Caenorhabditis elegans: one gene and its partners. The protein of the gene in region 2 purifies or fractionates together with the protein of the main gene of each other region. This does not show direct contact. Each region holds a gene or a part of one and is shown on either strand. Other genes may lie near its edges.

What was found. The genes of interacting proteins can lie anywhere in the genome.
Region 1: the proteins of cysl-3 (region 2) and F48E8.3 fractionate together in Caenorhabditis elegans (co-fractionation; one large-scale study listed by BioGRID). This does not show direct contact.
Region 3: the proteins of cysl-3 (region 2) and uroc-1 fractionate together in Caenorhabditis elegans (co-fractionation; one large-scale study listed by BioGRID). This does not show direct contact.

The regions. Positions count from the first base shown.
Region 1 is NC_003281.10:5,459,629-5,464,882, forward strand, and holds F48E8.3 (fumarate reductase (NADH)), read left to right. Parts: upstream 1-1,750; 5' UTR 1,751-1,787; coding exon 1,788-1,934; intron 1,935-2,340; coding exon 2,341-3,265; intron 3,266-3,623; coding exon 3,624-3,748; intron 3,749-4,131; coding exon 4,132-4,416; 3' UTR 4,417-4,754; downstream 4,755-5,254. Other genes in the region: F48E8.2 (E2F-associated phosphoprotein), read left to right, coding at 4,770-4,930.
Region 2 is NC_003283.11:3,774,028-3,777,831, forward strand, and holds cysl-3 (Cysteine synthase 3), read right to left. Parts: upstream 2,110-3,804; 5' UTR 2,107-2,109; coding exon 2,007-2,106; intron 1,962-2,006; coding exon 1,790-1,961; intron 1,732-1,789; coding exon 1,328-1,731; intron 954-1,327; coding exon 719-953; intron 673-718; coding exon 570-672; 3' UTR 509-569; downstream 1-508. Other genes in the region: rips-1 (Methyltransferase domain-containing protein), read left to right, coding at 1-54, 102-407; R08F11.1 (Non-lysosomal glucosylceramidase), read right to left, coding at 3,801-3,804. UniProt on the Caenorhabditis elegans protein: Primarily catalyzes the formation of cysteine and acetate from O-acetylserine and hydrogen sulfide.
Region 3 is NC_003282.8:16,536,750-16,544,769, forward strand, and holds the start of uroc-1 (putative urocanate hydratase), read right to left. Parts: upstream 6,001-8,020; 5' UTR 5,958-6,000; intron 5,619-5,957; exon of another isoform or gene 5,598-5,618; intron 5,575-5,597; 5' UTR 5,574-5,574; coding exon 5,448-5,573; intron 5,170-5,447; exon of another isoform or gene 5,145-5,169; intron 4,705-5,144; exon of another isoform or gene 4,678-4,704; intron 4,648-4,677; coding exon 4,376-4,647; intron 4,330-4,375; coding exon 4,188-4,329; intron 4,142-4,187; coding exon 4,013-4,141; intron 4,009-4,012; exon of another isoform or gene 3,988-4,008; intron 3,977-3,987; exon of another isoform or gene 3,956-3,976; intron 3,660-3,955; exon of another isoform or gene 3,639-3,659; intron 3,409-3,638; exon of another isoform or gene 3,388-3,408; intron 3,022-3,387; exon of another isoform or gene 3,001-3,021; intron 2,702-3,000; exon of another isoform or gene 2,681-2,701; intron 2,621-2,680; coding exon 2,328-2,620; intron 2,261-2,327; exon of another isoform or gene 2,240-2,260; intron 2,057-2,239; coding exon 1,715-2,056; intron 1,663-1,714; coding exon 1,541-1,662; intron 1,461-1,540; exon of another isoform or gene 1,440-1,460; intron 1,336-1,439; and 10 more.

The DNA of each region.
Region 1 (5,254 bases), on a different chromosome or scaffold from region 2:
ATTTTTTCATGAAAAACCATATAAAAAATCCACAAAATGATACGGCCACCCTTGGTTTTCGTTTTCTTTTTTCGTTTTCTTTGCAATTTTTTTTGCTAAACGTTAAGTTTCATGTTCGTTTGTGTTTTTACAGCTATGGGTCGTGGAATAACTTCAACTGACTACGAAAAAGGACAAATTGTGCCAAATTATCTCAAGGCTTCTCGAATCGTCAGATTTTTCGTGATTTGAAACTTTCGAGAGATATGATCACTCGATATGCTTCCAATCCTGCCGCTTATTGCACAAAAAAGTCTTCTGGTCGCACACCTTTTCTTTCTGTCAGACCCAAAAAAAAAACCGTTCGTCGAGCATCCAATTGAACAGTGACTTGCTCGAAAAGTAGGAGCGAGATGAACCTGGCAGTGTCTGTTGAGGCCGTACGACATGTTCTTTTGAAGTCTCAGTTTAACAAAAGACGAAAATTAAGAAAGGCTCCATTCATTACCAAAAAACCGCCAAAACCGTATTCAGTTTGCTAAAATCAGTCAGGGAACTAACTGAAGACAAGTGAGGATTACGGTATAATCATTCAAGCCCAGTTTTTGGTTTCAGTTCATCTTTTCTTTTCTCAAATCGTGCCACTAATCACGGTAGTAATCTGGTTCATTACAGTTAAACTTTTTCTCGTCACTGAAGATGAACTGAAACCAAAAACTGGGCTTGAATGATTATACCGTAATCCTCACTTGTCTTCAGTTAGTTCCCTGACTGATTTTAGCAAACTGAATACGGTTTTGGCGGTTTTTTGGTAATGAATGGAGCCTTTCTTAATTTTCGTCTTTTGTTAAACTGAGACTTCAAAAGGACATGTCGTACGGCCTCAACAGACACTGCCAGGTTCATCTCGCTCCTACTTTTCGAGCAAGTCACTGTTCAATTGGATGCTCGACGAACGGTTTTTTTTTTGGGTCTGACAGAAAGAAAAGGTGTGCGACCAGAAGACTTTTTTGTGCAATAAGCGGCAGGATTGGAAGCATATCGAGTGATCATATCTCTCGAAAGTTTCCAAATCACGAAAAATCTGACGATTCGAGAAGCCTTGAGATAATTTGGCACAATTTGTCCTTTTTCGCAGTCAGTTGAAGTTATTCCACGACCCATAACTGTAAAAACACAAACGAACATGAAACTTAACGTTTAGCAAAAAAAATTGCAAAGAAAACGAAAAAAGAAAACGAAAACCAAGGGTGGCCGTATCATTTTGTGGATTTTTTAAATATGGTTTTTCATGAAAAAATGGTTTATCTTTTTTACAAACGGTTCAGGTATATTTCCAATACTTATCTGAAAGTAAGTTAGTACAGCGAACATTTTCACAAGAAACTATGTTTTGCTATCTCAACCCAGTTTTGAGTTATACCAAAATTTGGGGTGGCCGTATCATTATGTGGAGCACTGTAGTATCGATACTACTAGATCAAAAGTAAATGTGAATAGTTACGGTTATGAATTATTGATTGTTTTTCCCCATCACTTTTTTTTCATGCTTCCCAGATGCCTTATCCATGTGAATATATTTATTCAAAAATCAGCTTTAATTTATTTTATATTTTCCCTTTTTTTCGGTTTTTCTCCTATGTTAGACATTCCATAAATAATGGGTTTTTAAAAAATAATTCTGTCTAATTTTTTCGGCGGTTTTAACCAATTTTCTATCATTTTCTATAATTTCCCTTTGTGTCCGTTGTTGAAATTTCCCCATTGACAGACATTTGATGATTCGGGTGCTCATTTCGCTTACAGTTATGGCTTCTGTGCTTCATGCTGAGCCAACTGTCGTTGTTGTTGGAGGTGGGCTCGCCGGGCTGTCTGCTTCACTGGATATTATCAATGGAGGTGGACGTGTGATTTTGGTAGAGGGAGAGGGAAATACTGGTGGAAATTCAGCGAAGGTAAGATCTTGCGAATTTTTGAAAAAAATCTATTTAACTTCTGGAAATATCGATTGTTAAAATTTATTTTCTCGCATTTTTTTGTTCCAAATTTCTGAAAAAGTTATTTATTTTACTATTAGTTGCAAATTGTGAAAAAAAATAATATTCTGTTTTTTTTCCTTTAAAACTGAAACGTCTCTGAAAAAATATGATAAATTAAAAAATTTCGATTGTAAGAAATTTTCAAATTTAAAAACAGTTAAATCGTGTGAAAAAGCTGGAAATAAAAAAAAAGAGTAACAAATTCTCGTTCTGAAAAATTTCAAAATTAAGTATGCCAAATTACAGTAAAATGTTTTAGTAAGTCTAGGTGATTTTTAAAAAAAGTGTCCAATATCCTCACTTCTTGAAAAAAATATTCCAGGCATCCAGCGGAATCAACGGTGCTGGAACCGAAACTCAGGAGAAACTGGGAATCAAAGATTCGCCGGAACTTCTTGTCAAGGACACTCTGAGTGCAGGAGACTCTGAAAATGACAAGAAACTTGTGGAAATTCTGGCTGCTAATTCAGCAGATGCTGTTGAATTTCTGCGTGGAGTTGAAGTGGATCTGACTGATGTGAATCTATGTGGTGGGCATTCTGTACCACGTACTCATTGGATTCCATCTCCAAAGGAAGGACGACCAATACCAGCTGGTTTCGAAATTATGAAGAGATTGAGAACAAGGCTTAATGAGAAGCAATCGGAGAATCCAGAAGCCTTCAAGCTTTTGACTCAGACTAAAATGGTTGGAATTTTGAGAGAAAATGGAAAAGTATCGGGAATCGAGATTGTAACATCAGCTTCTGGAGAGAAATCAAAGATCATCGGAGACGCTGTAATCCTTGCAACCGGTGGATTCTCTGCTGATGAAACTTTGCTCAAGGAATTTGGAGCTGAAATATTCGGATTCCCAACAACAAATGGAGCATTCGCTAAAGGAGATGGTGTGAAAATTGCGAGAGCTCTTGGAGCAAAGATTATTGGAATGGAAAATATTCAGATTCATCCTACAGCGTTTGTAGATCCAAAAGATCCATCAGCAGGAACAAAGTTCCTGGCGGCTGAGGCTATTCGTGGAAAAGGAGCTCTGCTTATTAACTCAAAGGGACAAAGATTTGGAAATGAGTTGGGAAGACGCGATTATTTAACTGGAAAGATTCTTGAGCTCGCTGAGCCAATTGAAGAGAGTTTCCAAGGAGGATCTGCTGGAAGAAATGCGGCGATTATGATTATGAATGAAGCAAATGTTGAGGCTTTTGGCAGACCTGCTTTCAATTTTTATTCGATTGTTAAGAAATTCTTTGGTAGGTTTTTTTCTGTGAAAAAGTTGGAAAACATTTTTTAAATTAGTTGTTTGTTATTTGAAAAATCCCAAACAATTTTTTTCAAATTTCATTTTTTTTTTCGAAATCCATTAACACTTCTCGAGAATAAGTTCGACAAAATCTTCGTATTAAAAATTCCCAGTTTAAAGATTTTTTTGTCGAAAATTTTATCAGCTTCCTTTTTTTTGGAGTTTAAAAGCATTTTAAATCCAAAACTAATTTTTTTTTCCGGAATTTCTGAAATTTTTAAAAATTCCCTTTTTCAAATTAATTTTTTTAATTTTTAGTTTTATATTATGAAAATTGTATTATTGCTCTGAAATCTGATTTTTTTCAGCGAAATACGAGAACTCCGCGGAGCTTGCAAAGGCTTTGGGTATCGACGAATCAGCTATTAAAACCACTTTGGAGGAATATCAGAAGAGTTTTGATGGAAAATCTGAAGATCCTTTCGGCAAAAAGGTATTCAAATATTTTTAATTTTAAAATTCTTGAAAAAATGACTAAGAATTCTGAAAAGTTGATCAAAATTGCATTTACTTTTAAAACAGACTTTATAAAATCAGAAAAGTGAAAGAAAAACTAAAATTCATAGATTTAGGAAAAATTGTGCTGAAATTGTATTATTAGAAACTTTGAGTAAAACGTTGAAAAATATCGAGAAAATCTTTCCCCGAATATTTGACGATCTATTTTCAATTTAAACTTTCCCAAGCCTAAATTTTTTTTCAAAATTAAAAAAATATCGTTCAGCAAAAAAAAATATCGAAACTGTAAAAACAAAGTTATTTTTGCATCGGAATTAGCCGAAAAATACCGAAACTGTAATAATTTCCCATTTCCAGGTGTTCCCAGTGTCTGCAATCTCTCCGACTGAGCCAATCTACGCAGCAATCGTCGTCCCAGCAATCCACTACACCATGGGTGGCCTGAAAATCGACGAGGCCACCCGCGTCATCGATGAGCATGGCAAGCCAATTGTCGGCCTTTTTGCCGCTGGAGAAGTCACTGGCGGAGTTCATGGTTCCAATCGATTGGCTGGAAATTCCCTGCTTGAATGTGTGGTGTTTGGCAGAATTGCTGGAAAATCTGCGGCTCAATCTGCTGCGGAGACTCGTACCGAGCTCTAATTCGAATATTTTTACAGAAAAAACTCAGTTTTGTGGCTCAATTCTACAGTATAATTCAGAAATTTTCAGTTAAAAAAAACATTTTTTCGCGATCCGGGATTCCCGGACCCCTGTAGATAATGATTCATTTACTAGTTCCAACCAACTTTATATGTTTTTATTATATCTACTACTCTATTCAGCATTTTTATTTTTCTTGTGATTTGCATCTTTATGGGTTCTTCTACACATATATTTATTTCTCATTTTCTCTTCATTTTCACACTCTCTCGTATTTATCGTGTTTCCTTCTTCGTATTGTGGTGTGTTTTTGGGTAATAAATGTGTTTTATTTTCAGAAGAAGCGGCAGACGATGATGATCAACGATGACGATGAGACGTTCGATGACCAATATCCAGCAGATGAAGTGACCGCAGCAACGATGCGTAGACTTGCTTTTGAAAAAATGGATGATGATTATTATCTCGGTGGAGCTGTTGGGGATGAAGTTTTTGATTCAGAGGATGATGTGAGGTAAATACACTGGAAAATGGGAGAAATTGTAATCAATGCCAAAAAAAGGAAATGCACAGCGTAAAAATTTTGGAAAAAAAAACTATTTTTCACTAAAATCACATGAATTTCTAAGTTTCCACCTTTTAAAAAAATCAGACACCGCTCGCAGGTTACGGTAGCAGTAATCCCCGACGCAGCTGAAATTCTTGCTACAGTACTCCATGCAGAAGTATTCAAAGAAAACGACCTTTTTTGGTTACTGTAGCTAAATTTTAATATGTTGGTTCAATAGAAAATCATTTTTGAGAAATATCCCTACTTCATCGAAAAATCAAGTTTTAT
Region 2 (3,804 bases):
TTCGATTTGGTGCTTATTTTTGATGCATGCCACGATCAGCGGAGACCAGATTTGGTACTGAAAATCTTAAATTTTCTAAAAAGATATTTTATAATTTTCAGTGCGTCCAAGAAATCCACCGAGTTCTCAAGCCAAGCGGGATGTTCGCTATGGTAGAGGTGCTCGGCTCCAGTAACGTATACACCGATAAAGCCGCCATGGGCCCATTGGCTGCAATGATGTACGGGTGCTCCATGTTCCATTGTCTCCCTGTCGGAAGTAACTGCCCAGATGCTCTGTGTTATGGTGCAATGTGGGGGCAGAAACGTGCTACCGACCTGCTTAAAAAATGCGGATTCCCTGATGTGAAGGTTATTGATACCCCATATTTCCCTATTAATGTGATGTATTGTGCCCAGAAAAATTAGGGTACTATTGAAGCCTTTTAATATTTTAAGTCCGCACAAGACCTACTAAATTAATTTTGTTTAATTTTTGTTTGAAATAATTAAACTCTTTCATGGCTGGCTGGGGAATACAATTTATTTTAAATTTCCAAAAATTCTCAATCTTATGTCAGTTAAATACATTTAGAGACCCAAATATTTCTTCGCAATTCCCATCGCCTCATCGTCACTTGAAAAAGTCAATTGTGAAACTTCATTGAGCACATCCGAGTACAGCTCCGTGGTGCTGAAAATTTAAGTTTCGATTAAAAAAAACTACACTATAAACTCACAAGTATCTCTCTGCAAAGCTGTTCACAGTGGTCACAATCAATTTTCCCTTGTTCTCGGGGCGACTAGCCAGCTCCACGGCAGCGACGACGTTGGCTCCGGACGAGATTCCACCGAGAATTGCCTCCTCGTCGGCGAGTCGCCGCGCCATTTGCATCGCATCGTCAGACTTGATGCGCAAAATTTCCGTGAACAACGAGCGATCGACGTTTCCTGGCACAATGCCGGCACCGATTCCTAGAAGTTTATAATGATAAGAAATGAGTGATAACGAAATGTTAGCACTTTCAGACTCCCTCATATTATGAACTGGCAGAGTTTCAGCGAGATGGTTCTGAACCTCGACCGCAGCCGTGACTTTTAATCATTCTTACACGTAGTGCCAGGCTGTCTCATTACGGTTTGATCTACAAAAAATGCGGGAATTTTTTGCTCAAAAATATGTGACGTCAGCACGTTCTTAACCATACGACATTCAGTTGAGAACTCTGCGTCTCTTCTCCCGCATGTTTTGTAGATCTATGTAGATCATGCTAAACTGAGACACTCTAACACCACGTGCGACAGATGTTCACCATGGGACTATGAAAACCCGTGAATGTAAATCAAACCTTGAATTTTGTGTGGCCCTCTTGGCAGCCCACTCAAGACTGAACTCTCGTATGGCTCAACCGGGTAGATCTCAATATTCGGATTCTGCTCGCGGAGGTATCTTCCGACTCCTGTCACAGTTCCACTCGATCCTACACCAAAGCACACAATATCAACTTTTCCTTCGGTTTGCCTCCAAATTTCTGGCCCAGTGGTACGATAATGAGCGGCTGGATTGGCGGGATTCGAGAATTGATCAAGGCAATGAGCATTTGGAAGCTTATCGACAAGCATCTCCACTTTCTTAATAACTCCCGGATGTCCTTCAGCTGGATCGGACAGGATCACCTCGGCTCCGTAGGCTCGGAGCATGGCACGACGCTCAACGCTCATGGTGGCTGGCATCACGAGAATCACCTTGTATCTAAAAATATCTTATTAAAGTTTTAATTTTTTTTCCGCTGTAAAGTCAGTTGTCAAACCCTCGAATCTTTCCAATATGAGCCAAAGCGATGCCCAAATTTCCACTGGTTCCCTCAACGAGAACCGTTTTTCCGGGCACAATTGTTCCAGCTTTCTCGGCTTCGTCCACCATTGACTTGGCAATTCGATCCTTGACAGAGCACGATGGATTCAGATATTCCACTTTGACAGCTGAAATTTACAAATTTTCAGCGAAATTTCATAAAATATTGTTACCGATTCTGGCATCCAAGCCTTTGGAAATATTTCGGAGAAGCACCAATGGAGTATTTCCGATAGTGTCCCCACTATCCTGAACCATCAATTCACGAGACATTTTCTGAAAATACAAAAAATTGAAGTTTCAAACAGCAGAAATATGAAAAAAAGAGATTAGAAAATTTAAATTTTTATTTTTAAAAAGATGGTTTATTGACGAAGAAAAGTAAATACAAGACGTCAACTGACTCTGCCTCACAACAACATAGGAAGGGAGGAGATGCAAGCGGGAAGACTGTAGGTCACTATTCACCTGCAGGAAGCCCAAATAGATCAAAATATAGATAAAGACTTTTTGATCTCTGAATGTTACCTGACGCAGATTTATTTCTCAGCGAAAATTCCCGCTTTTATTTTAGATCAAACACTGATGGGACAGCATAACACTACAGCTTTATTCAAGTTAAAAAATTTTTTGTTGAAATGTTCACTTTTCAGAAATATTAGTTTTCGATTTCTAATAATTTCGACCGAAGTTTCAGACTTTTTGTGTCTAAAATATTGCAAGTAAAAATTACTTTAGGGGGGCGGAGCCTAGTAAACAAGGTAGATCAAAAATAAATTATGAGAAAAATGTGCGATTGTATTTTTTCGATAATATATCTATTTTGAAAGTAAGAATATTATATGAAAATATCCAAAGAAAACGGGAAAAATTCGAAAAGGCACAGTTTTAAATGTATCCGTCCTATAAAAAATCCATCTAAAAACTTCCGGCAAATTAATGTTCGACAACGGCATATCGGCAAATTGCTGGAAACTAAAAGTTCCGGCACATCGGCAATCCGGCAATTTAAACTAACTTTTCAATCAACTCTAGCAAGTTTAGAAATACTGTTCGTAAAAGTTTACAAAAGTTGGGCAAAATTGAAACTTGGCCGAAATTTGCCAAAAAGTCGGCTAAGAATTTGCGGAAACCACAAAATACGATGGAAGAAAAATCGAAAGACTGCAAGAATTCGGTGTAAAATGAAACCATTTATAACCCCACAATCATCACACTCCGCCTTGTCCATGTCGATTTATCATCGAAAATTTATGCGCCTACTTTCCGCTCGATTGCTCTATGTCTGAGTCTCCACTCCTTGCACATGTCTCTCGCGGTGAACGTGACTTTTCTGATTTTTGTACGCGTTAACTGATGGTCACCAAAAGTAAACATCCCTTTTTGGCAAGTGGTTCAGCGAAAAGTGCGAATTACAGGACATGTGCTTTTTTATTTTTTTAAAAGATGGATTTATTGGTTGACTTGAAATTTACAAATAAAAAAAGCGTATACCGTATTTCTTCTATTAATATGGCTGCAATACTATTTTTCGATGGTCTTCCCGCTTGCAATACTAATAGGGAGTGCAAGACTATTAGGGAGTGCAATACTAATGTTCAGAACATTTTCTGACTTTGAGCTTACTAGTTTTTTTCCAGAAAAAACTCGAATCTTATGTGAAAATTCAGAAAATTTGATTGTAATTGCAACAAAAAGGTACAATAACTTCAATTTCATAGAAATTTTACCAAAATTGTTGCAAAGTAGGCAAAAAATGTTGTTCAAATCTCAAAATTAGTAGGGTGGGTTTGTACCAAAAAAAAAGTAGATGCAAGACTATTAGGGAGTGCAACACTCATAGGGAGTGCAATACTAATTTTCGGAGGGTGTTCAAGGAGCAATACTAATAGGGAGTGCAAGTCTAATAGGGAGGCCATACTAATAGAAGAAATACGGTAAATACAAAAATTGTGCAGCTATTCATTTTAT
Region 3 (8,020 bases), on a different chromosome or scaffold from region 2:
AACCCAATTAATTTTCAGTGGTACCCATTCAAGAAGAAGACGTGGTGATTTTTTGCAAATTTTCTCAGAATTTTTAAGAGCGAATATTTGTTAAAGTTAAGGGTACCCATTTCAAATAATTCATTCAGGATCATAGTATTTTGAAGATAATAAAAAACATAATTTTTTACAAATTGTCTAATACAATACGTTACAAATTAAAATGCAAAGTTGGAAACAGTGAAAAATTCTCAAATTCAACTTGTTTTCAAACCGCATCTCCTATCTCTCGTTTTGGTATACTTGCTTTGCGGTCGACACTTTGTGAATTGTTCATCATGGTACGACATATCCCGGGTTTCCGGGAACGATGTTAATTTTTTTCAGCGGAAAAGACATTTTCGGTAGACTTTCAACTTTTCCAAGCATAAATTTGATAAATAACCTGATGAGTTCCCCTAAAACTACATGTTTCTACTCTTAAAGGTGGAGTACCGAAATTAGAGACTCTGTTTTTTTAGAACAAAATGAGCCCAAAACTACCGAATTTTGTGATGAGACGTTCTGAAAATTTCTTTAAAAAAAGTTATGAAGGTTCAAAGTTTTAGAAAATAAGGCCCATTTTCAGCTAAAATCGAAATTTTATCTAATTTCTCGGTGTTGCAACGTTTGGAATTGAATTTTTATTTATTCATCTCTTTTTAATAAATAATGTGGCCTTTGATTGGGCGTTTATTCGTTGATTTAAGTACATTTATGGTCAGTGAGGCACAAAATGTAACTTTTATTTGTGCCCCAAAGACCATAAATGTAGTTAAATCAACGAATAAACGCCCAATCAATGACCACAATATTTATTAAAAAGTGATGAATAAATGAAAATTCAATTCCAGACGTTGCGACACCGAGAAGTTGGAAAAAATTTTGATTTTAGCTGAAAATGGGCCTTATTTTCTAAAACTTTGAACCGTCATAACTTTTTTTTTTGAGAAATTTTCAGAACGTCTCATTACAAAATTCGGTAGGTTTGGACTCATTTTGGTCTAAGAAAACAGAGTCACTAATTTCGGTACTCCACCTTTAATATGTTATTTTTTAATTCAGCAAAATTAATAAAATAAAATAATCGAACATACTTTAATGACTATGCGAAATTGTAGAAGTTTTCTGCTTTTTTTTAGCAATATTTCCGGAATAACCTCTTTCAAAAAGCGAAAATTATATAAACTTCTCGAAACAGTACGCTATTTTATTTAGTAGTTATTTACGGTTTCAAGAATATTACACTGGCTATTCGTTTTTCTTTTTTTTTTTCAACAGCTTCACATCCCTAAATTTCCTAACAAATATTAAAAATTAAAGTCAAAATTCGTCGGCAGTTTTATGGACAATATGAAACAGCATATATATGATTTCTCGCCAACAAATGCTCAATTTTATGAGATTAGTACTAAATTTCAAAGATACACACACTGAACCCATCAAATTTCTCAAAATAGTGAACATACATATAGCCATAGTGAAACAGTCGATTTTTTTGTTACAACATAAAAGCACTCACCATCAGTATCCTTCAACTCATCAATAATCTTGCATGCTGTCTGATCAGTCAATCTCAAATCTTCCGGCTTTCCAGAAGTACAAACCCATCGGAATGGTCCAAATCCCATTGAAAAGATGTCTCTGAAACAGAATTTATTTTATTTAAATTGTACTCTTTTCAAATAATTATTACCCCATAATATCCTGCATATAACTTGGATATCTAAACGATTTATCATCCTGAGCATCCTCTCTGAGCAAATTGGCTCCAGCTCTCTGGCATTCCAAAAGGAAAGCATTACCGTAATCCCAGAAGTACATTCCCTTTGCAGCAATCTTGTCGATGGCGGCGATTTGGCGGATTAAAGAGTTTTGAACAAGTTTTTTGAATTTTACAGGATCAGAAGTCATCATTTGATTGGATTGTTCAAAAGTGAGTCCAGCAGGGTAAAAACCTCCAAGGAATGGATTGTGGAGAGAAGTTTGGTCACTTCCCAGTTCTACAAGACATTCCGGTTCCTCGGCGAGCCGTTCCCTGGAATTTTGAAAACTCATAGTTTTTTGTCTAGAATTTTTGTGAATAATGTTTTACCAAGTTTATTAATTGTGAAAAATCTTTGTAAAAAATTCTGTAATTTAAAAAAAATCTTGGTTCCGAAACTATGAGATATATTATTTGTATTACAATTTTTTCCGCTTTTCTCGTTTCCTTTAATTATTTTCCCTCTTGCTCCGTAGATCGCCTTTCACACTTTCATAAAAAAATTTAACAACTTTCTGAAACAGTAAAATTTTCTAAAACTCACCACAAGTCAACAACATTCCCCAAATATCCAATACTAATTGCCTCTTTTTTCTCTCTGTACTCTTTAATCCAATTCACAATTTCCTCAAGATCCTTCGAATATACATCCAACCATCCCTGTTGATGACGTTTCAACAATGCAGTATCACTAATTTCCGCAATAACTCCAATACATCCAGCAATCTTAGCTGCTTTTGGTTGAGCTCCACTCATTCCTCCAAGTCCTGCAGTTACGAAAACCTTACCAGCAAGGGAATCCAGTCCCATACGACGACCAGCGTTGAGGACTGTGATCTGGAGAATTTTTACTGTTTCAGGGGGTTCAGAAATTCAGGAGAGTTGTGATGAAATTAATCGGACAAGAAGAATAGATCGAGAAAAACTCATATAGTGACGTCACTATTTTTCTATATGGGTAGAAAAGCTGTAATCTGTTGCATCTGGTCTCGAATCATTTAGATTTCTTTAAAATATTATAAAGTGAAAAGACTTTCAACTTTCTGCTTCTAATAAGTCAATTTTGAAAAACCTTAAGAAAATTACGAAATTCAAATTAAAAAAAAATGTTATCAGTTCTGGTTCATTATGTAACTACTGAAAAAATAAAAATAAAATTTACAAAAATTTATTTTTTCACAGTTTCTACATATTTTAGGGCTTTGTAAGATAGCTATTCGACTCTATTTAAGGTGGAGTACCGAAATCTGAGATTTTGCTTTTTCCGACCCAAGATTCCCCAAAAACTACTGAATTTCGTAACGAGACATTTTGAAAATTTCTCAAAAAAAAAAGTTATGGCGGTTCAAAGTTCTGATAAAAAAGGTCTCATTTTCAGCTAAAATCAAAAATTTTGTCATCTTCTAAGTGTCTGGAACTAAATTTTTGTTAAATTATCACTCTTTAATAAATACTGTGGTTAGTTGAAGTAAGTAAATTTTTTCAGTGGGACAAAATATTATCAGCTTTGGTTCATTATGTAACTCTTGAAAAAAAAATTACAAATTTCAGAAATTTATTGTTTCATTGTGTCTACATATTTTAGGACTTAGAGAGTTAGCTATTAGGAAGGTTTTCAAGAGAACACCGCTATAAATTAAAGCAATATATCAAGTTTTCTTGACGCCACTTCTCTACTACTTTGGTGGAGTTTGGATTATAAAATAACTAGAATAATACACAAAAACTTAACAAAAATCATTCAAATACTATCTGAAACCGTTGTATACTGAAAACCTTCTGTGTAGCCCATATCCCAGAATAAAATTTACTGTTTCAGTGTGTTCATATATTCTGGCAGTAATAAGGTGTTTAATGCCAAAACTTCAGCTTTGGTTCATTATATAACTATTTAAAAAAAAAAATAAAATTTACAAAAATTTAATGTTTCACAGTGTCCGTATATTTTAGGGCTGAGTTAGTTATTAGAAATAACATGTTTTCTTTGAGTCACTTCTCTACTACATTGGTGCAGTTTGGATTATATAAATGACAAGAATCATATTCAGAAAAAAAAACAAAAATCTTGAAATCCTTGAATTTTTGCCTTTGAAATTCCATCTAAAACCGTTGTATACTGAAAACCTTCTGCTTTGCCCATTTTCCAAAATAAATTTGACTGTTTTAGTGTGTTCATTAAATTTGACGGTAATACGGTGTTTTAATGCCAAACTCCATTTAACGGCTTACCGTAGTCCCGTGTACAATTCCCTGTGGTCCAATATAACAGAAACTTCCAGCAGTCATTTGTCCGTACTGCGTCACTCCTAATGCAAAATACTTGTCGTACAGCTCCTTTGTCGAGTAGCTCGGGATCATCTGAAATGTCAAAATGTACGAAGCATCCTAGTTTCCAAAGGCCTACCATTCCATTAGTAACAGTCATTCTTGGCGAGTCCGGGGTTGATGGAAATAGGCCCAATGGGTGTCCGGAATAGAGCACCAAAGTTTGATGGTCAGTCATTGTGTAGAGGTAACGAAGAACCAGACGGAATTGGATCCAATTGCTGAAATATCATTTCTCAAGCATTTCAGAAAGATTCCCATGCTAACCTAAAAACTTGACCATTTCCTCCATAAGTCACCAATTCCTGTGGAAACTGGGCAACCCGCTTGTCCAAATTGTTTAGAATCATCAAAATGATAGCCGATGCTTGTTCGCAATGAGCTCCGATCTCCGAGACGGGCGGCGCGAATAGATCAAAGTTTGGCATGAACCGATACCCATAGATGTGTCCATAGGTGTTGAGCTCTTCAGCGAACTCGGTGGCTAGAAGGACGTGATGCTCTTTTGGAATGTAGCGGAGAGCATTGCGGACGGCGAGCTGGAAGAATTTTATAGTTGAAGCTGGTTGGGACCTGCATTGAAGTTCGAAACAATAAATTTTGGAATTCCACTTGTATTTTATCAAGTAAGTGAAACAGACTTTTGTAACTAATAGCCAACAGCTTTTCAGCTCCTAAATTAAAATTTGATCTGATTCTTGATCTTCTTGATTGTTCTTGATCTCGAAAACTACATAGCCTACCGACTTCAAAAACTGCTCCAAAATTGCAAAAAAATTGTAAATTTTGTTACAGTCTTCTCTTACTTTTTTCTGAACTAGAATTGGCACAACAACTTCATTCAATTAATTGGTATCTCCCAAATTGCGCCGAGCACAGAGAACACTGTGCAACCCGGGAGATGTCGGAACAATAAATTATAACATTGATCTCATTGCAAATAGTTTACCATAATTAGGAGTAGATTTGAAAAATTAAAGGTAAAAATGTTCACTGTTCCAAATATTGCATTTCAATTTGTAAAAAGTTCTATTAGTTAGTCAGTGTAGCATTTAAACTTCTTGATGCAACAAAAAAAAGCTAATTTTATTAAAAACTAGGCAAAAAATTTCAGAGTTTAGCCAAATTTTTCTAAAAAATTTGTTAGTTTAGGCTCATTTTCAGCCAACTTGTCAAAGATTATGTTTCACAGTCTTCTTTAAAGCGCTCAATGAAACAATGAAACTGTTTTTGCAGTTTCAAAAAATTCATTTGAAAAGAAAAAATTCCAAGTCAAGTGCCTAAACGTTTTTAATGAAACAGTACATTTTTTTTATCTTTTCAAAGATAAATTTATTACCATTTTCTCTGTCTGTGTAAGATTACACGGACGCTTTGGTGCGTGAGCCACATTCTTGGCACGTTGCTCCGTTGGATGCTCGAGGAGCGGAGAGAATGGGTCGACGAAGAGAGATGGGATGTTCATGCTGGAAAATTGAGTCTTCACAAACCGAGTCAACAGTATACGAAATTAGAAAAATCAACAGTAAAAACATTTTCTCAATGTGATGAAACAGTAATTTTTAAAAAATAAAATTTAAAAAAAAATTTCTAGAAAATTCTAGAAGTTACCAGATTTTTCTAAAAAATTCTTAAAGTTCCCACATTTTTCTAGAAAATTACAGAAGTTTATAGATTTCTCTGGAAATTTCTAGAAGTTTCCAGTTTTGTTCTAGAAAATTCTAGTAGTTTCCAGATTTTTCTAGAGCATTCTAGAAGTTTTAATACAATTTATTGGTATAGTTCATAAAATTGACAATTGCCGAATTCCAAATTTCGGTAAAATTTCGGCACTCATCAAAAAACTAACCTCAAAATTTGCCAACAAAACCGAACTTATTCTGATCAGCAATGAAAGATTTCTCGTGAATGTTCGACTTCTCCTCCCCCTTCTCCCACGTGGTATGTTCCTTCCCGCCCAATAGATCACCGCCATAAAATTCTCTGTTTTGATGATTCTCGTCTTCTGGTTCCAGGTTACGATCCTTGACGACGACGAAACGGTCGGATGATTGCATTTTTATTGGTTAGTTTCAAGGTGTGTGTGTGTGTATTTGGAAGAGAAAGATGATAAGATCTGAATGCAGAATCTCGCGATTGGGTAGAATTCGAAAATAGAACATTGGGACTTTAAAATTATTTATAAAATTAATTTTTTAGTTACTGTTTCCGCTAGTTGTTATAAATCGGTGATATATATTAAGAGTTTTATTGGAAACACAACTTTCAGAGCTTATAAATTTGACCGTTTCAACTAGTTGTTATAAAACTGCAATTTATTTGTTGCTTACTACCTACATCACATTTGTAAGTTAAAACTGTAAAACGAATTAAAATCTTTGGAAAAACAGTTTTTTCTGTTTTTTGTTTGTTTTTTGGTCCGAAGAATTTCGAAAAGAAATACCAAATTTTGCTTAAAGCATCCATAAAAAATTATAAAATAGAACATTGGATTTAACGCGAATTTAGTGGAAATTAACCGTGAGGCTATGAAATAAAAAATTACAGTTTCAGCTAGTTGCTATGTAGATGCAGTTTTATATTTCCTCACTGAAGCGACTAAAATTACAACATTTTGAATTCTTGCAGAATTTTTGAAATTGAAAAAAAATACAGGAGGAAGGTCTTACCAAAAAAAGTTTTTGATCAAAAATAAAAATAAAAAAGTTTTTTTTTTGAAATATAGTTTTCTTTTGGTTTTTGGCCCGAAAAAAAACAGAACATTTAAGAGAACAGTTCAGCACTTTAGTCCTCCAGGTGTGCTGCTGGACCACCAGGATTCTGAGGAGCTCCAGTACAAGATAGAGCTCTAGAAAATTATGTTTCTTACGGGAACACCCGAAACACGGGTCAAATTGACCGTGAGACTATCCAATTAAATTACAGTTTCAGCGTGTTCTTATGTACAACACGCTGAAACTGTAAATTTATTGGATAGTCTCACGGTATACCCAAACCACCTGCACAATTTTTACTTCAAGCTCAGAATCGCAAATTTGGCTCAAATTGAACGTGAGACTATAAAATAAAATCGCAGTTTCAACTAGCTGCTATGTACTAGTGAACATTCTTATTTCTCATTAATCTTTTTCTGATATTTGCTGTAAATTACAAAATGTCTTGTTAATTACAAAAACTAAGGTTTCCATGAAGGCGTTCAAATTCCCACCTGCCTGACCTTAAGGCGATCTCCGCCTGCCTCTTGCCTCAATACGCGCCTTATTCTAAAACATACACGAACTATTTGTTTTTTCATATCTTAATTTGATTTTCAACAAAATTATTGAAATGAGAAAAAAACGTAAAAATGCGATTCGAGGCAGGCGTCAGGTCCCTGAAACCGCGCCTACCTATTATGGAAGATCCAATTCTAATCCAATCCAAATATGGAATGTAAACGGCACTGCAAGTTTGTAATTAAATCACAATGTTTGAAAAAAAAAACAGATTTTTACAATTTGACAGTTTCAATTAGTTTTTATAAAAATGGCATTTGTTTTTGATTTAGTAAAAATCTTAGTAAAAGAACCAAAAAAAAAAACTACGAATTTTGTTTTAAACTCCCCGACTGAAAATTAAAATTCGTCCAAAAACAAAAAACAATACAAAAAATACTTTAGGTATGTTGCTGGACTACCAGAACATGACGGAGCTCCACTAAATTATGTTTCATCGGGAACATCCTAAAAATAAAAAAAAATTAAATTACCGTTTCAGCTTATGTACAAGAAATTTCTTTTTTTTGTTCGGTTGCTAACCCGACTTCTATCTTAACTATGAAATTAGTTTTTTTTTTCAATTCTTGCACCGTTTTTTAAGGTTTCAACTAGCTTTTATAAAAGTTTTTAAGACTTTTTCCGTTTAGTTCATTAC